Linked DNA regions of Pelodiscus sinensis. The protein of the gene in region 2 purifies or fractionates together with the protein of the main gene of each other region. This does not show direct contact. Links are inferred from orthologs where the notes say so. Each region holds a gene or a part of one and is shown on either strand. Other genes may lie near its edges. The genes, in order: ERC2 and RIMS1.

Evidence for each region.
Region 1: the proteins of RIMS1 (region 2) and ERC2 purify together in Homo sapiens (affinity purification with western blotting; 3 studies listed by BioGRID and IntAct, with this or other methods). This does not show direct contact. The link is inferred for Pelodiscus sinensis from reciprocal best matches to the Homo sapiens genes RIMS1 and ERC2.

The regions. Positions count from the first base shown.
Region 1 is NC_134721.1:27,838,732-27,850,382, reverse strand, and holds the start of ERC2 (ERC protein 2), read right to left. Parts: upstream 4,463-11,651; 5' UTR 4,324-4,462; intron 2,190-4,323; 5' UTR 1,991-2,189; intron 943-1,990; exon of another isoform or gene 837-942; intron 1-836. UniProt on the Homo sapiens protein: Thought to be involved in the organization of the cytomatrix at the nerve terminals active zone (CAZ) which regulates neurotransmitter release. Seems to act together with BSN. May recruit liprin-alpha proteins to the CAZ.
Region 2 is NC_134713.1:52,870,959-52,881,818, reverse strand, and holds the start of RIMS1 (regulating synaptic membrane exocytosis protein 1), read right to left. Parts: upstream 4,715-10,860; 5' UTR 3,600-4,714; coding exon 3,436-3,599; intron 1-3,435. UniProt on the Homo sapiens protein: Rab effector involved in exocytosis. May act as scaffold protein that regulates neurotransmitter release at the active zone.

The DNA.
Region 1 (11,651 bases), on a different chromosome or scaffold from region 2:
ATTGTCCATCAAAAGGGAAATATCAATTCGCCGCTAAGGGAGTAGATTCCCTTCCATCCATCACAACGCTTAGCAGGTAGCCGCCTAGAAATCAATCACACTCTAATAAAACAGACACCACCCTTCTCCCCCATTACATTATTACTCTAGCTTTTTAAGAAAAAATGTATGTATGATACATAGGTTCCTGGGTTTTCTCATCTGCATCATAATCTTGTGCCACTAAAATGATCCTTAAAACCCACACAGCATTGTAAACGTGCAACCCACTAAGTATTCATTCATTCATTATATAACTCCAAAATAATACCCTGTTAGTCTGACTGATTTCCTTTTCCCAGTCACAAAAAGAAAAAAATAAATCCGTTTTTTTCCTGACAGTTTGTCTTTTTTTTAAAAAACCCATCAAGCTTTACAAATTATATGGGCTACAAAGCGAAGAAATTTCAATTCACATCAATTCCATGCTAGGCTTTAATAAAATAATAATATTTGTAAACTGTTTACAAAAATGACAATTATATGGCTGATTTTAGGTGAAATTGCAAGAAAGGTATGTAGATGATGGTTCTGTAGGGAGAGGCACATATTGCTACTAGAATAAGATTGCACTTGGTCACATTTATGGCAATGTATTAAAGGGGTAAAAAAAGCCTTTTTTGCCATTTCTTTCTTAATTTTCAACCACTACATAATTTTAGACAACAATATATAACAATTTTGTTAATTTAAATTAATACACAAAAATCTATTATAGCCATATTCTTGCTTAAGCTTCTCACCTTTCAAATCATTGCATCTGTCTTTCCTCCTCACATGGATTTTACAACATCAAGTCTAGCTGATAGCTGATTACACAGAGGAAAGAGGCAGCGTGAAGAGCTGAAGCAGGCGAACATTTAAGAGGCGAAGGAGAGAGGGAGTCTGCTGCAGTCAGAAGAGGTTTGTGTATTTCCATCCCTCGTCTTTCTGTCCCTCAGCGAGTCTCCCTCAGTAAGCTGCGAGCCTGGCTCTCTGGTTTGCCAGTCCCTGACTCAACATTCCCAGCATTCCCGAGGAGCTTGGTTTTCAGTAGAGCTGAGCAACCTGCCACAAGGGGCAGCAGTAAACTCCCCATTAACAGAGCAGGAAGCTCTGGCAGCAGAACTACAGGCACTGCAAACCCATGGATTTCAACCCAAGTATTTCTCTCTGTCCACTTATTTGCAGACCCAGTGCTTTCACTTTCCCTATTTAATATGTGTGAGTAGGAAAGGAAGCAGAACTGATGGGACAGCCCAAAATTAAATAGTTTGCATGCAGAACCGGTTGTGATTAAACTGTTCTCTTGCCTCTGCTCATTAAAGGCCAACATTTTCAAACTATGTAGCAAGGCTATATTAGATATCTGCATTAGTAATGGACCCGCATCTGATTAGTAAAATACATACACATGTGTATGTGTCTCTGTCTATATTTTGGCCTAAAGTAAAAATGAATTTGAGACATCCAAATTAGTTTTTATGGGAAAAATAATTAACACTGGAAGGAGGGGAGAATAGGAAATTAGTTATTGTAACTCCCAAATTAAAAGATCAAGTATATAGAATCCAATTTATTTCACAAAAAATGTATTATGTTGCAAAGTGCATTAAGAAATTACCTATTTTATTTAAAAGCTTAAGCCGAGTTAGTCTGTAACAGGAAAAACTTAAAAAACAAATAGTCTGGTAGCACTTTAAAGACTAACAAAACATGTAAATGGTATCATGAGCTTTCATGGGCAAAACCCATTTCTTATCTTTTTTAAGTTTTTCTTATTTTATTTAGTAATTTATTTAGTAGAGTGTTGAATCAGGAAAATATCACTTAAAAATAATTTGTTTCCTAGCTCTAATCATTCACTTTCCATGTTGGGGAATGTACTTTTTCCTTTCTACTTTTCCCATTTGCTCACTATAATATTTTTGTGGTCTGCATTACCATTTGGATCATATTATGACAGATTTACCTCAGGCTACAGCTTCAAGACTTCTCCTTCACTCCAGGAATTTCACAGATAAATCACTGTCTGCATCTTCTTAACCATGTTGCTGTAGGAGGTCTTCACAGAGCACTTCAAATCTGTATTTTATTTTCTTCCTGGGTCACACATATAGGTATACAGACACTGTTGAAGAGTCTTGCTTGGGACAGATTTTGTGGCATTTCTGTAATAAAATATTACACCCAATGAAATTGATTTCAGCCAGTCATATCGCAGACTGATTTAATCCCTTCAGTAGAATGGCATTTTCCTTATCCAAAGCCAAAAGAAAAAAATTCTGTTATGAATATTCATTCAGAGATGATACTATTCAAGACAGTGCTGGAATCCAAACAAACAGGACAGAATGTAAAAAGGATGAGCCTCCTTGCTGCATATATGTCTTTTAGTTAAAAATACACTATGGGATGGAAACCCCCTTTTTTCACCTGGGGCTCAGGATAATACTAGAATATGTAAGGTGACCATTTTTAAAGGGACAGTTTTCTTCCAGGTGTCCTGACTTTAAAAAAAATGGGCCAGTTGTCTCGTTTTTCCTGTCTCTCCATACCATCAGTACTGGTGGGTCCATTCTGATGCTGGCTAGATCATTGCTCATCAGCTGCCCATCCACAGTGGTGAGTGGATGGAGGGATGGATCCAGTTGCTGTTGATGGGGCTGGGATTGCAAGGCAGGAGGCTGGGTACAGCTGCAGCATGTGGGACCAGCCAGTCCCTCTGCTGGTCCATCAGTGCAGTCCCTGCTATGGTGTCTCCTCTTGACCAGCAGTCCTCCTTTACCCCCAGTCCTGTTTCCAGCTAGCACTGGTTGCTTGCTGCAGTGGTTGGTGAGTGTAAGCTGGCAATGGCCAGTTATGTGTCATTTCTGCTGCACACCACATACTGCCCTTTACATGCTTCCCCTGTCACTGTCCTCTCCCTGCTGTGGCCATTCATCCTCCAGCCCCGCTGCTCCTCCATATTCCCCCCAGCTTCTGGCACTGTGTGGAGAATCAGATCCAGGAGAAGCCAACCCTGCATGTGCCAAAGCCCCACACAAATCTGGGATGGGGAAGTTTCTCTGCCCCTCAACTAAGCTCTGCAGTGGTGGGTAGGAAGCTATTTCCAGACTTTTTGCGCCCCAACCCTGCAGGCTCCACAGCAGCCCCCTGGGCAAGAGCATAGTACCCTCATGTTAAGCGGGCACATGTTAAATGAGGAATTACTATAATTTCCAAGCCCCAAACAATAAACCTGACAGACTACCTAAACTTTTTCCTAATCTCACATTCTGATGAATCCAGCAGATCTGTTTTTGGGGAAGTTTATGTCTTCCCTCCATGCCTGGAGAAGATTCCCCTCTCTCTCTCTAACAAAGGAAACTGCTTCTCCCAATTTGAAATTCTTTAGCTGCATTTCATTGACTCAATGCCCAAAGCCCCCTCCCTCAGGTGCAGAATAGCTTAAGGTTAGCTTAACCCTTTCCTCGCTCTCCAGATAAGTTAGGCTCTCCTTTGAAGCTCCCATTCATGACAGCCCTTTAGGGTTGGGAGACCTAGTTTGAGAAAGTGTCATTGGGGAATCCCCAAGTGCAGCCAAAGTCCAACATGGCCACAAATTTGTGGCAAACTATTTCCCACAATTGCCACTGAATAGGCCATAGATAGGGCTATATCAAATTCACAGTGCCTTCTCGCCAAATTCACAGCCAGAGATTTTCCAAATTGGTCAAGTTCACAATTTCAGATTTTTGTACACACACAAATACTCCTGGGTGAAGGCATGGAGGAATAGAAAAAGGAGAAAAGAAGCAAAAGAAGAAGAGAAAGAGGGAGGGAAGGAGGAAAGGGAAGCTGAAAAGGACAAGCACCCAGTGTCCCTAGTGATTCTATGGAACACATTCCTTAATAGGAAATCAAATCACCTTGCCCTAATAATTTCTATACCTAAAATTCAGCTAGTATTTGGTGGATCAGACTAAACAGATTCCAAATCTCTCTGAGGGCATGTCTGTACTAGGAAACTATTTTGAAACAAGTTAGTTCAAAATAGTAACTCCCAAAATAACTCATCCACACTATAAGGCACCATCGAAATAGTACAGAATTATTTCAAAATAGTGTATCCACATTGAATGTCCACACTAACACTATTTTGAAATAACAATTTCAAAATAAGCATCATTCCTCATGACAAGTAGGAGTTATTATTTCAAAATAACCAGCCCCTTATTTTGAAATAATGGGGTTGGTATTGTGGACACTCCACTTGTTATTTCAAAATAACTCCCCAGTGGAAACCAGGCCTGAGGTTCTTACCTCCTAAACAGGGACTACAAAATCAGTAGTCGGGAAGGAGAAAATTCCAATCAGGTTGGTCCTCATGCTCATGTACATTAATCCTAATTCTCTCTTAGTCCCCAAGGAGAGACCTTGCTAGGGAGCCTTGCTGCTGCCAAGCCATGAGAATCTCTGAGGCTGCCTCTGCCTTGTACTTCAATCCTGACTGGCTGATATCAGAGTCTCTTTATGAGGTCACCATCTTCCCACCACCATCCCCCAATAGTCTGAGGTCCTGCAACAGGCCTTTGTGATGTCACTGCTACATTCTCCCCTCCCTTACGAGGCTAGTGTCCTGACCCTAGTTCGCCTCTTTGAATGCTTGAGTGACTTCCTCTGGGTCATCCACTTAATGACAACTGAGTCTGGAGATCCCTTTCTATGCTGCACTCAGTTTTTACATTAATTAGTAGACTTTAAGGTCAGAAAGGACCATTAGAGCATTGAATCTGACCCCTGCATATCCCAGCCCTCCTGTATATTATCATAGCTAAGTTTTGATTCAAGCACACACCAGAAAGTCATCTAGTCTTCATTAGAAGACATCAAAAAATGTGGAGTCTGTCACTTGCTGTGGTAGTTTGTTCCAATGGTGAATCATCCTCACTGTGAAATATTTGTTCCTTTTTTCTAATATGAATTTGTCTGTTTTCACCTTCCAGCCAGTGGTCTTGTCTTCCTTTTTCTGCAACATTAAACAGCCCTTTAATACTTGACATTTTCTCTTCAGGAACGCATTTAGACACTTCAATTAAGTTCTCTCTCAGCCTTCTTTTGTAGAAGCTAAAAAGATTGGGCTCCTTTCAATAGCCTCCAAGAAGGCATTTTTCTTTAGCCGTCAAAACATCGAGTTCTTTGCTGACCCATCTCCAATTTTTTAACATCTTTTTAAAATGTAAGCCCTAAAACAGGTTGCAGTATCCAAACTCAGTCTCACTAATGCTATGTCACTTCCCTAATCACTCCTCTGCTCATATGTCTATTGATGGCTTTTGCCTTATTCACCACAGTATCGTCCTGGGAGCTCCTGTTGAGCAACTTGTCCGGCATGAACCCTAAATCCTCAGAGTTGTTGCTTGCCTGGGTACAGTTCCCCAGTCCAAGGATGTAGCCTGCGTGCTTTGGGGCTAAGATAGGACCTTACATTTGGCTCTGTGAAAACCTGTTTTGTTCACATGGGTCCAGCTTCCCAAAGGATACAGATCACTCTATATAACTGTCCTGGCGTCAGCCTTATCACTTTGCTCATATTTTGTCACTCACATATGTCACCAGCAATGATTTTGTATTTTCTTCCAGTTTATTAATAACAATTATTTAAACAATAAGTTCTGGAGAGCCTCTTTAGACCAGTATTATCAAGTATATGCCCTTCTCTGAATAATTTCCTGTTCCACAACTGGACAGAGTATTCTGGGTGCAGGTGTTCTATGGATTTATGTAGTGGCATAATGGGATTTTCTGTTTTATCCCTTTCCTAATAATCCTTAACATACCGATAGCGTTTGTGATTGCCACTGCACAAAAAGTAGAAACTTTCAGAGAATTACCCATGGTGAGTCCAAGATCTCTTTCTGGCATGGTAACAGTTAATGTAAAATCCATTATTGTATCTGGCTATCAACAGGGCATTCAGTGGACACCTTTCAAACAGTTAGAGGACATGGATTTTGTTGACGCTGTTGCCCTCCTTTCATGCCAACATGAAAGCATGGAAGAAAAGGTCACAACACTAGATAAAACTGCCTTAATGATTGGACTGAGCATTAACAAGAGAAAGACCAAGACAATGAGGATCAACCAATCCAACAACAACGTCATCACACTGGGAGGGAATGACCTGGAAGATGTGGAACAGTTCACTTACTTGGGGAGTATTATGGGCAGAGCCAGAAGAACATACCAGGATATCAGTGCTAAGACAGGGAAAGCAGCAGCTGCAATTAAGACTCTTTGTCCCATATGGAGCTCACAAATAATATCTGCGAAGACGAAACTGCAGATCTTCAACACAGATGTGAAGAGTGCACTCTTGTATGGAGGCGAGACCTGGCATACTAAAAAGTCTTCAAATCACAAGCTACAGACATTCATAAACAGATGCCTGAGGTACATCCTTCGCATCAAATGGCAAGACTGTCACAAATGAGGAGCTTTGGAACAGAGCAGGACAAAAACCAGTTGGCATTCAAATCAAGAGAAGAAAGTGGGGAATGGCTGGGCCACACTCCCAGAAAACCATCATCCAACATAGACCATCAAGCGCTCACATGGAATCCGCAAGGAAAACGCAAAAGGGGAAGACCTTGGACAACGTGGATAAGATCTACTGAGATTGAAGGACAACAGCTAAGGTACTCCTGGAGTCTGCTAGAAGTTTTGTCTCAAAACAGAGTGAAGTGGAGGAGACTTGTAGATGACCTATGCTCCACTCGGAGTACAAGGGTTTAAGAAGAGAATTTGCATAGTTGGGATTATCATTTCCAATTAGCATTACTTTTCACTTTTCAATATTGAATTTCATCTGCCATTTTTGTTGCCTTGCCACCCAGGTTTGGGAGATCCCTTTGTTGTTCTCAGTCTGCTTTGGATTTAACATTCTTGAGTATCTCCAAACTGTTATGCTTCCCTGTGCACCGCACGTGCTCTTTTAGACTGTTAGTGAATATGTTGAAGAATACAAATCCCAGTCCCAGGGTATGTCTACACTACCCCGCTAGTTCGAATTGCTACTTTGTGCTGACAGAGCATGTTGCTAAATCTGTCCCTAAACATTTATAATGTGTTCACTGCCTTGCTAACACACCAGATAGTTTTCAAATCTGGTAGGCTACGTCTACATTGGCCCCTTTTCCGGAAGGGGCATGGTAATTTTTGAAATCACAATAGGGAAATGCGCGGGGGATTTAAATATCCCCCACGGCATTTAAATAAAAATGTCCGTCGCTTTTTTCCGACTTTTAGAAAAGCCGGAAAAGAGCGTCTACACTGGCCCCGATCCTCCGGAAAAAAAGCCTTTTCCGGAGGATCTTATCTTAGTCAAAGTAGGAATAAGATCCTCTGGAAAAAGGGCTTTTTTTCTGGAGGATCGGGGCCAGTGTAGACGCTTTTTTCCGGCTCTTCTAAAAGCCGGAAAAAAGCGGCGGACATTTTTATTTAAATGCCGCGGGGGATATTTAAATCCCCCGCGGATTTCTCTATTACGACCTGTGAAATTAACATGCCCCTTCCGGAAAAGGGGCCAATGTAGACATAGCCGTGATGTTTAAAAACTCTGTTTCCCGTTGGTGTTGTTTGTTTGTTCTTTGCATTTATCCCATCCTGGATGATAAGAGTGGATTAGTCAGTTTCATGGTTTGATGTTCATGAACTACCGTATATTCCGGCGTACAAGACGACCTCTGATGTTAAAAAACATCCCCCAAAAATCGGGGGTCGTCTTGTACGCCGGATGCCCCGCCGCCGGAGCCCCTCCGCGGCTTTGAAAGCCTCGGGGGAAGCCGGCGGCGGGGCATCCCAGGCGCGCATGGGCTGCCCCCCCGCCGGAGCCCCTCCGCGGCTTTGAAAGCCTCGGGGGAAGCCGGCGGGGGGGCATCCCAGGCGCGCATGGGCTGCCCCCCCGCCGGAGCCCCTCCGCGGCTTCGAAAGCCACGGGGGAAGCCGACAGCGGGGCATCCCAGGCGCTCATGGGCTGCGCCCCCGCCGGAGCCCCTCCGCAGCTTTGAAAGCCTCGGGGGAAGCCGGCGGGGGGGGCATCCCAGGAGCACATGGGCTGCCCCCCCGCCGGCTTCCCCCGAGGCTTTCAAAGCTGCGGAGGGGCTCCGGCGGGGGGGCAGCCCATGCGCGCCTGGGATGCCCCCCCGCCGGCTTCCCCCGAGGCTTTCGAAGCCGCGGAGGGGCTCCGGTGGGGGGGCAGCCCATGCGCGCCTGGGATGCTCCCCCGCCGGCTTCCCCCGAGGCTTTCGAAGCCGCGGAGGGGCTCCGGCGGGGGGGCAGCCCATGCGCGCCTGGGATGCCCCCCCGCCGGCTTCCCCCGAGGCTTTCAAAGCCGCGGAGGGGCTCCGGCGGGGGGGCAGCCCATGCGCGCCTGGGATGCCCCCCCGCCGGCTTCCCCCGAGGCTTTCAAAGCCGCGGAGGGGCTCCGGCGGGGGCGCAGCCCATGCGCGCCTGGGATGCACCCCCCCGCCGGCTTCCCCCGAGGCTTTCAAAGCCGCGGAGGGGCTCCGGCGGGGGGGCAGCCCATGCGCGCCTGGGATGCCCCCCCCCCGCCGGCTTCCCCCGAGGCTTTCAAAGCCGCGGAGGGGCTCCGGCGGGGGGGGGGGAGCCCAGGCGCTCCTGGTGGCTTTGCTCCCGGTGCCTCTGGTCTGCTGGGGACCATCTCCAGCAGACCAGGGACACCGGGAGCAAAGGAGGCGGAGGGGCGCTGGGGTATAAGATGAAACCCTATCTTTTAATTAAAAAGATAGGGGGTCGTCTTATACACCCAGTCGCCCTATACGCCGGAAAATACGGTAGCCAAATGCAGCACTGTTGAGTGCTGCCGGTGAGGTTCAGAAGTTTGAAGCAGTCTCATGGAATTTATACTTTTAAAGATTTTGTGGAAACATCTTCAGTGCTGGAAATGGTTAGTGGATGGGGCTCAGGACAGGCCCTCAGGAAATGTGAGCAATCTTCCTGAACTGGCTTGCTGAGTGGTTTGGTCAAGTCATTTCCCCTCCCTGGGCCTCATTTGGCCTACCAGTAAAATGAGAAGAATGACCCTGCCCTCCTTTTTACAACCCTTTGAGGTCTGCTGATGACCAGCGCTGTGTAAGAGCCATGTATTATGAAATGTGTTCTTATAGGACTGGACTGTGTGCCTTTTGAGCCTGATCATTTCTCATCACAAGCTCAGGCTGTATATGTGAACGTGGGTAAATGCTAGGTGCAGCCCTCCTGCCAGGCCCTTCACCTTACTCAAAAGAGGGTGGGATAATAAAAGAGCAGAATGCCAAGGGTGAATTTTTGTGTCTGACATGACCAGTGTTTAAGCATGTACCTCCTGATGCTAATGAGCAGTTAGCTCCATACTAGGCAGGAGAGACCTGCTGACTGTGCAGCAGCTTTCTATTGAAGACCCTCTTGTGTACAACACTTGGTCTTGTGCACCTGGCACTCTGTGCATGCCCTGCACAGTGCTCAGCCCTCAGTTTGTCTGAAATCTGCTGGGCCTAGCTGGGGCAGAGCTGCAGGGAAAGTGTGTTTGGGAGAAGCCATGATCATTATATGAGGTGAGGCAATTATGGGGTTGTTTTCCTGGTGCTTGTGTTCCCTATGACTACTGTGATGCTCTGTTGTTCTCTTCTCTCAGCAAGTAAGCTGTTCATAGGGCTGAAACCGTCAGGGACTCTCCTGAAGGCAAGCTGTGTTAGTGGATTAGTTCCATTGTCACCCCATGGGGGAGAAACAGTGGGTCTTATGGCATGTCCTGGGTAATCCTGCTCTGCAGTATGTCTACACGTGCAAAGGGGGTTGTTCAGGATCAGTGGACACTGCTCGCTAGTGATGCCAGGCAGATGGGTACAGTGTTGTTCTTATATCTCTGTGCATATGGTGAGTGGCACCAAGAAAGTGCCACTGCAGCATAATACCACTCTTGAAGTCCAGAACACCACATAAATCCCCTGTGCCAGAGGGCCACAGAGCTCACTGGAGAACTCATGCATTGGATCTCAGGCAATGTGGATGGAGTCCAAGGCATAAAGGATCAGTCAGCAAAGGCTTTCCTTGCCAACCGATCCCCATCTTGACTGCTTTTTCGTGCCGACAAACAGCTGAGCTGGCACAACACGGCGGCCATTTTTATTCTAATGAAGCGGGGGATATTTAAATCCCCGCTTCATTGACTATGTCGGTATGTATAATTTACATGCCTTGGTCGGCAGAGGCATGTAGTCTAGATATACCCTGAGTGTTCATTTCAATGTCCTGAAATGCTACTGTTCCAGAAGACTGGACCAAAGCTATTAGTGTGCCAGAGTTTAAGAAGGGTACATAGTATGACCTGGGTAACTATAGGCCTGTAATTCAAGCATCAGTCCCAGCAAGAGAATGGAGTGGCTTTTACTGCTCAAAATTAATAAAGAATTAAAGGAGGGGAATGTAATGAATGCCAATCAACATGGGCTTATGGAAAATAGATCCTGTCAGACTACATTGATACCTTTTTTGGTGAGATTGCAAGTTTGAGAAAGGAAATAGTCTTGATGTAATACACTTAGATTTCTGAGAGGCCTTTTTATTAAAAATTTCAAAAAAATGGAAAAATTCACATGGCATACATGCAGTAGACTAAAAGCTGCGTAACTGAGTTCCTCAGAGAGTGTGACTGGTGAGCAGGGTAGAGCTGCTATTTAATATAGATATTATCTCCACCATAAATTGCCCTTAAATCTGGCTTCCCCCACTGCCAGGATCCTGATCTGTCCCAAGTGCTGAGCTCTAGGACAGGATGTCCACCATCAGTAAGTGTTTCCTCAGAATCACTGAAGCACCTCTTGGCTGTCTGCTGCCCTGTAACGTAGGGTATGTCTACACAGCAAAGTTATTTCGAAATAGCAGCTGTTATTTCAAAATAACTTTACTAGCATCTACACAGCCAACCCGCTATTTCAAAATTAATTTGAAATAGTGGAGCTCTTATTTTGACGTAAACCATGAGGAATAACGCCATATTCGAAATAGCTACAGGCAGTCCCCGGGTTACGTACAAGATAGGGACTGTAGGTTTGTTCTTAAGTTGAATCTGTATGTAAGTCGGAACTGGCGTCCAGATTCAGACACTGCTGAAACTGACGGCCAGTTCTGACTTACTTACAGAATCAACTTAAGAACCCCAGGCGTCCCCAAGTCAGCTGCTGCTGAAACTGATCAGCAGCTGATTCCAGGAAGCCCGGGGCAGAGCAACTCTGCCTGGGGCTTCCTGTAGTCAGCGCTGGTCAGTTTCAGCAGAAGCTGACTTGGGGACGCCTGGGGCAGAGCAGGACCAATCGGCAGCGCCCCAGCTGCTCTGCCCCAGAGTCCAAAACAAAAGCCTGGTCTGCTGGGGGGGGGAGCACACTAGCTGCGCCCCCCCCCAGCAGACCAGGGACACGGGGAGCAGAGCCGCAGCGGCAGCGGGGTGCCGCGCCTCTGAGGCTTTGTTCTGGCAAAGCCTCAGAGGCGCGGGACCCCGCCACGGCTGCGGCTCCAGTCTGGGTGCCTGTGGTCTGCTGGGTCCCCAGCAGACCACAGGCACCCTGACTGAAGCCGCAGCCGCGGGGGGGTCC
Region 2 (10,860 bases):
AGGGAAACAAATATTTTTTAAATTCTTGGAAGATTGGCTTTTTCCAGATTCCTAACCAATGAAATATTAGAAGGAAAGCATATTAAAAAGGTGGTCTCTTCTGCAGAATTTTCATCAAAATCTAGATTTATAACACCCTTTTGCTCTGGGGAGTTCCTATATAAGAACTCTACACTTCCCCCTCCTCCTTTACACTATCCCTCCTACTAGCCACCAATGATACCCATTACCTTACAGACTGATAGATTTTAAGGCCAGAAAGGATTGTTGTGATCATCTAGTCAGATTTTCTGCATAATATAATTAGAGTGGAAGTTATTTTACCCGGTGTCAAAAGCATGGGTAAAAGTGGGTTCAAAGACATAGCTTTCAAAATTTCAGATTGGATCCAGCAGTGCAATCCAATCTTGCATTTTAGACTTTACACAGTTTTAGTGTGTTCATCTCAGAGTCCCATTTCTCATAAAGCTTGCACGTGTACTGCATACAATAAAACTATATTTAAAATATTATTTACTTTGCAGAATCAAACACTCAAAAATTAGGAAGTGGCCAGATTTATGTTTGCCTGAGCAACCTTAATTCTGTTCCTTTGTGCATCCATCTTCCATACTGAGATATTGGGCAGAAAACCTGTCACTGGTCCAGGAATGAATATTGTCCATTTGGCATCTCAGGCCAGCATTACTTTGAGAGGATGTTCCATATTTGGGATGTGGGTGCTGCGGAAGGAAACATTTCCTTATCAGATTATTTTAAAAAGAAAACCAATAGCTGTTTGAAGCTGCTCAGACATTTGGAATGTTAGAACTATTCCTGCTGGAGACAGATTAATAGATAGTGGGCAGGTAACATGGTCTAGGACTCACAATAAATAATATGGCTATGTGATTTATTACCGAGATGTGTGTACACCATCATGTGTGTAAAACGCATACACCTCTCTTCAGAATTAGGGCAGGAAATTCTTGTTCAGAATGGTATCCTATTCCTATCTATAAGGAATAAGATGTATAATTCGTGTCCCAGAAAAAAAAGTGTAGTGTTGGCTAGATAAGAGAAAATTACAATGATTCTAGAAGATATAATGGTTCTGTACAACATACAAAATCATAACTAGATAAAAACTACTGACTCTGACCTAATTCCCATAAACTATTTAGCAAAGTTTATAAGCTTTCACCCTCATACTATGACTAGGCTGAATTTCCAGCTATCTAAAAATCACATTTTTCTCAGCCTGATGCAAAGTCTTACCTATTATTCAGACATCTTTGAAAAAAAATGTTACCGGACCAAATAACAAGAAATTCTTTTTGGCGTAAAAAACCCTTTCAGTATATGTCTAAAGCAATATAGAGAGACCCAATTTTTAAGCAGAATCCACAAAGGGCAATTTCTGACCTGCACAAAAAAATTAAGTTTGCCCCAAGTCTTTTAGCAAAAGCTTTGAAGATTTTCAGCACCCTTGTGGGAAACATTTTAAACATTGTTCCAGACTTCCCAGATGCTAATATGAAAGCAGTGAAGAAATCCCTTACCTTGCCTTTAGCAATTATAGCACTGGAAAAAAAATGTCCTAACAAAAAGTTTGCTCTAGCAATGGACATGGGACTAAAAATGCTATATTCCACAGAATAACACCTAAACATTTATATGGAAGTAGTGGTGGGCAGAGAAGTAGAGGACAGAGACTGGAGAGGAGTAGTAACGTAGTTTATAGCATTTTGCAAGCATTTTCTTTTCAATTCTCTTATGAAGGATAGACACCGAAAGTGACCCTAAATGCTTATCCCTACGTTGGCTAATAGAGTGCAGTTTCACAAATCTGCTCTTATTCCAACCCCAATAAAGTCTCGACCACACCCCGCCACACACAACCATAGCAGCAGTGAACTGAACTCTTCATCCCCATTTCAGCTCTCGGTGCCACACCCCCATTCTTAGTCCAGGTCCCAGGCGATAAGCATCACTAGCTCATGTGCCTCAGTGTACATTTCTGCAGTTAATACCAGCAGCAGCAGCCACTGCAAAAATGCAAATCCCAGCCCTGATTTTAAAGGACAGAAACAACAGCACAATCAAGCATTGCCATCAGCTTCAAATTGTTTGCAATATATGGCACAGAGGTTAAGAGACTACAAAGATTCAATATTTCTATCCATTATAGATTACATTGTTGGCTTACAAGGGAAAGCATAAAAACTGGAACACACGCCTTAAAACTGATTATTTCTGATACAGTCAAAAGAAAAACCCTGCACACAACATGTCACACCTTTTGTGCAAGCCACCAGCCCTATCCTCCAAACACACAGCAGGGAATGGGAAACAGCAAGGCGAGGACACACCTTACAGGATAGAAAGGTTCTGGATCACATGAAGAGCTTTGTCTGTAATCAGTTACCTATTCTGCCATTTCCATCCAAAAGTGAATAGGCCTGGAGGGTGGCTGTCTTCCTCAGGCCACAGACTCAATCTGTTTAGTCTCATCACTCACAGGAGGCAATTTAGTAACATTACATTTGAAGCCTGCTGCTAATGGAGGAGGATAGAAAATGAGGTCACATAGGTGTTGTTTTGCAAGGAAGAAGGGTGGGGGAGATAAAAGGTGCAACAGAGGCAGGAGAGACTAGTTTCCAAATATGGCATCCATCGACACTCTGAGCCTCCTACATCTTTCTCTGTGTAATCAACAGTGTAATAAATCCACAATTCCCTCTCTAGCCCACCAACACAGGTATAAACCTCGCCCTCCTTAAGGAGCTGGGTACCTAATTATGAACACACAGTGCTTTCCCACATCAAGACAACCAGATGCTTCCCAACCCCATCCTTGCCCAGTGTACAGCAGCAGCCAGGCAGAAGAAGGGGTCCCAAGAGGAAGATTAGCCCCGCTGGAGAAACCCTCCCCGCAGGGGGTGCAAGTAGCGGAGGGAGAGGCAGGTTGCTGCTGCGCTCCCCAATGGCAGGATTCCGTTCACACGGAGCCAGGTGGGGGCAGCATGGTGTTTTTTGAAGGCTCAGTCCTAGGGAAACCCCACCCATTACCCTCCCGTAACGGGCGGGGTTTTAAAGCCCCCAGAGGAATCCCTTCCCCAAATGTGGGGGTTTCCCCCATAAGGCAAGGTCTCCCCTCTTCCAGCGCGCCCCGCAGGGGAGCAGCCCGGGGGGCCCTTTGCTTCTCCCGGCGGGGCTGTGGGGCGAGGCCCCCCTCTCGGCGCTTCCCCCGCTGCCCGTGGGTCTCCCCAGGTAGGAGGCTCCCGCAGGGCCGGGAGGCGGTCCCCATGGGTGGGGCGGAAGAGGAGGAAGTTCAGGGCCGCGAGGTGGGGGCTGTGCAGGGCACGACCCGGGGCAGGGGCCGGAGTCGGGGCAGCCCAGCCACTTGGCCGCGCGCCCCCGCCCCGCCTGAGTGACCGCCGGGCGGCCGCTTACTTGAGCATGGCCTCTTCCTTCTCTTCCTCCTCTTTCTGCCGGTCCATCACGGCCAGAATGATGTTCCGCTCCTCCTCGGTCAGGTGGCTCAGGTCGGGCAGCTCCTGCATCGGGGGAGGCACCGTGGGGGGGCGAGGGCCGCGGGGCCCCGCCGAAGAAGACATGTTTATTGCCGCCTTGGCCCCTGCCCCTTCTACCTTGGCGAGGCAAAACCAATCCCGCCTCCTCCCTTCACAGCGGAGCCCTCTGCTCCTCGGCGGCAGCAGCCAGCAGCTCTCCGGCGGCAGCAGCGGCGGCGGAGGCGGAGATCCAGCCTTTCATGGTTGCTTGCATCCACCCCAGCCCGGCTGCTGCTGCTCCCTTTGTTTGCCCAGCTCTAGGCAGGGTTGGGGCTGCCCTCCTGCTGCCTCTTGCAGCCCATCCTCCCTGGGTGGGAGAGGGGCTCGGGATTGCAGCTAGCAGGCTGTGTGCACAGGCAGGCGGTACGCACAGGGCTGGCTGGAGGAGAAGGGCGGATGCTGCTGCTGCTGGCTTTGAGGAGGGAGGGGGAAGTTGGGTGTCAGTTAGGCGGAGTCCAAGCCACTCCGCTCCTGGATGATGCTCTCGCTATCTCGAGCTGAGCTGCACCGGCTGTGGAGTCCCTGGACCTGAACCACTCCCACCACTCGTCCTGGGTCCCCGGGCTTGTCCTGGGGCCACACATTTTCCAGAGTTGCTACTGGGAGGATATTTTCTCCTATGCTCTTTATCAGCCTTGGTTAAGGGCCGCTGAGCCTTGCCAGACTCTTCAGCTGGTGCCCTGCCCCCTTGCCTGCCTTGAGCAGTGTCCACACGCACTTCATCCCTCTCTGGCTCAGCTTTCTCACTGCACACCAGTGCTACAGGCTGATACCTGGCTCCCCACTGCAGGTCAGCATGGTATTCCAGAGCTCCACATCACTTTGTTGGTATGTGTCTGTACTGCACACACGTCCCCTGACCACAGTCTGGCACTGCACACTTGCTGCCCAGACTCCTATGACTTAGGGTAAGGCTGCAGGTACTCCATCTAGGACTTTACTTTGACCCAGACCTGTGTTCAGTATGCCAGTCATTTCTTGGTTTCTCTGCTTTCACCAGAACATGTTGATATTTTTCTTGGGCTCCTACATTGCAGCCTGGCACTTCATGAACTCTAATTCTTCTTCCTCTGCCCTAGCTGCGGGTTTTATGCTCTCAGTGGGCTCCCCTTCTTGAACCAGGGTGTAGCATGCTGCACTCTTCAGACTCATTCTTCCTAGGCTCCCCTACCCATGCCTTCCAAAAACAACCTTAAATATGTTATAGTTCAAACTCCTTATGGAAAAAACCAAATCATTTATTGAGATGAAGGGCCTCCCTACAGTGGTGCAAATTCTAAAGATTCATGAAAGGCAACTGCTTCTCCATCTTGAGACTATATCTAGACTACGGGGGTTTTCCGGAATACCAGAGGAAAAACTCCACCATGTCCAGGGAACGCATCTGGGCATCATGTAGAGTAACCTGTATATCAGGAACCAGTCATCTCCAGAACAGACAGCAACATAGGTGAGTTAAACTAAACACAATGTTGACGAGCTCTGCTAGACTGGAGCACAGAATTTGCCCCACTTCATTACACATAAAAGTGATTCACTAGGTCTGTCCTGCTGATGTAACTCCTCAGAAGCCGGCCTGTTGATACCTCTGAGTAATACATCAGATGCAATCATCAGCCACCTAAGGAAAATAAGAAGAGCCATACTATGTCAGACCAAAGGTCCATCTATTCCAGTATCCTGTCTTTCACAGTGGCCAATGCCAGATCCCACAGAGGAAGTGAACAGAACAGAGAATTAGTAAATAATCCCACTCTTGTCATCCATTTCCCGCCTGACAAACAGAGGCTAAGGACGCCATTCCTACCCAACCTGGCTAATAGCGATTGATGGACCTAACCTCCATGAATATATCTAGTACTTTTTTGAACCCTGTTTAATGTCCTGGTCTTCACAACATCCTCTAGCAAGGAGTTCTATGGGTTGACTGTGCGCAGCGTGAAGGAAAATTTCCTTTGATTTATTTTAAACCTGCTACCTATTAATTTCATTTGGTGACCCCTAGTTCTGATGTTTTAGGAACAAGTGAATAACTTTTCCTTATTCACTTTTTCAACATCACTCATGATTTTATAAGCCTCTATCTTATCCCACCTAAATCTCCTCTTTTCTAAGATGAAACCTCCCAGTCATTTTAAATCTCTCTTCATATGGGACCTGTTCCAAACCCCTCATCATTTTTATGCCCTTTTCTGAACCTTTTCCGATGCCAATATATCTTTTTTGAGATGAGGCGACCACATCTGTGCACAGTATTCAAGATGTGGGCGTACCATAGTTTTAAATAGAGGCAGTAAGGAAGACTTTCTCTGTCTTATTCTCTATCCTTTTTTAATGATTCCTAACATTGTTTGCTTTTTTGATTGCTGCTGCACACTGAGTGGATGTTTTCAGAGAGCTATCCACAATGACTCCAAGATCTCTCTCTCTCTCAAGGAGTTATAGCTAAATTAATCCCCATCATTTTGTATTGATAGCTGGGATTATTTTTTCCAATGTGCATTACTTTACATTTATCAACATGAAATTTCAATTGCCATTTTGTTGCCCAATCACTTACTTTGGTGAGGTCTTTTTGGAGCTTTTCACGGTCTGCTTTGGTCTTTAACTATCTTAAGCAGTTTAGTATCATCTGTAAATTTTGCCATCTCACTGCTTACCCCATTCTCTAGATTATTTATAAATAGGTTTCAATAGGATTGGTCCCAGTCCAGACCCTTAGGGAACATCACTAGTTACCTCTCTCTGTTCTAAAAACTTACCATTTATTCCTACCCTTTGTTTCCTGTCATTTAACCAGAGAGCAATCCATAAAAGCATCTTCTCTCTTATCCCAGGGCAATTTACTTTAATTAGAAGCAGTTGGTAAGGGACCTTGTCAAAGGCTTTCTGGAAATCTAAGTACACTATATCCACCGGATCCTCCTTGTCCACATGTTTGTTGACCCCCTCAAGGAACTCTAGTAGCTTAGTAAGGCATGATTTCCCTTTCCAGAAACCATGTTGACTTTTCCCCAACAAATTATGTTCCTCTATGTATCTGACAATTTTATTCTTTACTCTAGTTTCAACTAATTTGCCTGGTACTGACATTAGACTTACCAGTCTGTAATTACCAGGATCACCAGTGTTCCCTATCAGCTGCATGGCAGCACAGCTTCTCTGGTAATCAATCAGCCCCTCCCAGTCTGAGGCTCAGGACTCAGTGCAGGGAACTGACTTACTGGGCAGGGCTGATTAATCACCTGTGAAGCTGTTTTTATGCAAAAACTCTGCAGTGTAGACATAGCCAAATTTTAGTTGCTCCTGGTCACTAGCTCCTTGGTTGCTTACTAGTGAGCTTTATATAGCCCAGGCCTTCTTGATAGCCCCACGCCGCAGTTAAGGCTTGACCAATGAACAGAGGTTCTAGATTTCAAATCCTTGTTAAGAAGCTCACAGCTTCCAGCTGCTGACCTCAGCATGTGGTCCTTCAAACAAACAGCTCAGCAGATGGATCTACAAACAAACACACACAAGCTCAGCACACACTATCTTTCAGACAACCAACAAGTAACCCACAAACACACACACTACAGACAGCCACTTACCCCCAGGCTATGTCTACACTGCGCATTGTTGCACAAGAAGATATGCAAATGAGGCATGGTGATATTCATCGCATTTGCATACTCAATGCACCGTCATTTTTGCGGAAGGGGCTTTTCCCCAAGAAGGAGCTGTCTACACTGCTCCTTTTTGCACAAAAAAACCCTCTTGCACAGGAGCTGTTCTGCCACTTATTTTCAGGAAGAACGGCTCCTGCACAATAGGGTTTTTTTGCACAAGAAGAAGCAGTGTAGAGAGCTCTTTCTTGCGCAAAAGCCACTTCCGCAAAATGGCGGCTCATTAGATATGCAAATGAGGCATGGTGATATTCATCGCCACGCCTCATTTGCATATCATCTTGTGCAACAATGCACAGTGTAGACATAGCCCAAACATCCTGTAATCATTTCTCCTTCACCTTCACCACCTCACAAAACTCCGTTAGCTATTCCTGTTCGCAAGCTAAGTAGGATAAGAATGGCTATACTGGTTCAGACCAAAGGTCAATTTGGCTCAGCAGTCTGTCTTCTGAAAGTGGCCAATATCAGGAGTTCCAGAGAGAATGAACGGAACAGGTAACCATCAAGTGATGTATTGCCTGTCACCTAATTCCCAGCCCTTTATCAGAATTGTTTGTGTATACAGTAGACCAAACAGTGACTGGCAATCTTAGAAGAATTATGGTTGAATTTTGTGTGTCATTCAAATACGTGCATCAGTAACAATAATTCTTATGTATCATCTTGTGCCATAAAATGTTGGTATTTAAATGTAAATAAAAAGAAATTGAGACAGAGAAGTTGATTGTATTTATTATTAATAAATGTATTCAACTTATTTTGTCTTCCTTCCTTTGTGTGTTTATTCTTTTTTCTTTCTGAAATCTAATATCTTTATTAGTGACAACACAAAATATAGAACTTATTACTAATGTTGTTATATACAACCCTTCATATGACAGAATCCTTGGTCCAATTTAGGCCTTAGCTTTAAATAATATCCAACTGAAGATACTATTTCTGTGTTTCACACAGAGGAAAAACCATTTGAGTAACCTCAACAGCTAATTAGCTAGATAGCCACAAACTCCTGCAAAATTGTGAAATTGCTCTCTTGTACTTTATTTTTTGTCCAGTTGTAAGTCTGTAAATTAATAATCTCTATACAACAGAACAAGCTATAATATTTGATAGAGTATCACAAGGTATACTAGAAATCTAAAAGGTGGAAATTAAGACTTAAATAACTATATACAATTTTGTGGTTTTGTTTTTGTTTTTGAAAATTGACAGTATCTAAAGCCCAACAGACATTATGCAGTATGAAGAAATGTAATTGCCAAAGCAATTTGGCCCTAAAGAGTACTGCAGACAGTTCAGATCATTCTGTCTATTTTAAATAGAAATATGATTGATTGATATAACTAACCTTTAACAAAGGTGCATATAACAAGTTATTTGTTTTGTATTAAACAAGCTGATACATTCAAATAGTTGAAAAACCAGTATGAAGGGAAAGTCCTTTAAGGTAAATCCAATGAACACATATATACAAATATAAACTTCTGTTTTATTTCATTAGTGGTTATAGCCCATTCGTGATAGACCAAACTAGTCAAACTAGTCTTTATACTGCTGTATGAATAACTACTAAACAAATAAAGAGCCATCAAGACGTGCAAGGGCAACTCTAGCCTCTTCTCAGTCAGGCAGTAGAAGTGGGCTAGAGAGAATGTTAGAGGCTGCGTGGGCAGCTGCACCATGCAGCTTGTGGGCACACTTACTTGATTGTTTTAGTTTTATCTTTTTAATATTGTAACACACTCAAACATGTTTTATCTTTGTTATCCTCAAAAGGAGAATACAAATATATACAGAAAGTTTTAAACTTAATCTATGGTAGCTTACTGATGCAATATTTATTCATAGAAAATCAATAGGAAAAATCCTAAGCCAATAAATGAACTAATCACAACAATAAACAAACACAAACTTCAGAAAAAATACTGGTTAAAACACTAATAACTAATTACTTTACATCAGCAAATGTATTGTATTATATTTTAACAGCCATTTTGAACATAGCAAAGGAGGCTGTTTGGAAGATTAGAAAATTCAGAGTCACAGTACAAGAACGCACACTGCATTCAACTTGAAGTAGTGGGCTTCAGTGCTAGAAAGGTTTAACTGAGCACAGGTGATGTAGAGGAAGCAATACAGGACACATTCTGCTCTGTCCCTAACAACAGCTAGAGGAGGCGGTGAGTGGGAAGGGGGATGTGTTTATGTGATTCTTGCACCCCAGCCAGTCTGCAAACCTAAGCACCCTCAGCCCGAGGCAGATCATGTGCAGCTGCATATGCTGAGGAAGTGAATCCAGCAGGGAGGAAGTCAGGGGTCCATTTCAAACTTTGCTGGGGGGAGGCAATTTTAACTGTGATTCCAGGGACTACTTAGGTATCTGAAAACCCTAATAGGGTTTTTTGTTTGCTTGTTTTTGCAGATAACACTTTGGAAATAAGCTGACAGGAGCACTGTATCTAATTCATATCTATCTATATCTCTCTATAAAATGCATTATATTTATTCCTATAAGTACATATATAATATATACACACAAACAATAATTAAATCCGTATTTTAAGTTTAGTTCAACCAGAAAATAAAACAGCAAGATATTTCCAATCCCAGGCTTCCAGGTATCAGTTCTGGAGTCTTAACACAAATATCAGAACTGCAAGTTTGATAACTTGTATATTATCTTAGCAGAGATGAATAAAAATAAATAAATTCTGCTTACTTACTCCAAGGTTGTGTCTACATTGGCACGATCTTGTGCAAAGCGGCTGCTTTTGCACAAAAACATGCTGCCTGTCTACACTGGCGGGGAGTTCTTGCACAAGAATACTGACATTCTAATGTGTGAAATCAGGGCTTCTTGTGCAAGAACTATGATGCTCCCACTCAGGAATAAGTCCTCTTGCGCAACTGTTCTTGCGCAAGAGGCCAGTGTAGACAGGCAACATGAATTTCTTGCGCAAGAAAGCCCGATGGCTAAAATGGCCATCAGAGCTTTCTTGCGCAAGAGAGTGTCTACACTGGCACAGATGCTCTTGTGCAAAAGCACATCTCTTGTGCAAAGGCACATGCCAGAACTCTTGCATTAAAGAGTATTTGAGCAAGATCATGCCAATGAAGATGTAGCCCAACAGACACATTCTATGTTACTGACATAGTTTACTTTACTTTAATTGTTTTTATCCCACTAAAAACATATATACTTATTTTAACATATATGATTAAGGGTTTTACTCCATTTTTTAAGAATGGGAATTTAAAAAAATATACTGGCATTTATGTTTATCAACCATAATTGTGTACATCACTTAACATTTGACTCCACTAATACTATTAATATCAGACCTAGAACTACCTTTATTTTCATATGAATTTTACATTATTTTATAGATATAATTAAAATAAATACAGTTTGAAACTAAGTGACCTTCATCTGCCCAGTGCCAAAGGTTATGCGTTCAGCTATCTTAAAAAAAAAAGCATGCACTGCTAAGGTGAGTACAAGATATATCTAGATTCTAGACGGATACTATTATTTGATTGTGCAGCTTTAAATAATGAATGAAAAAGTGCAATATGGTAATAAAAGTAATTATAATTATTCCACCCAAAGCAGGATAGGCATTTTAGAACTCATGACC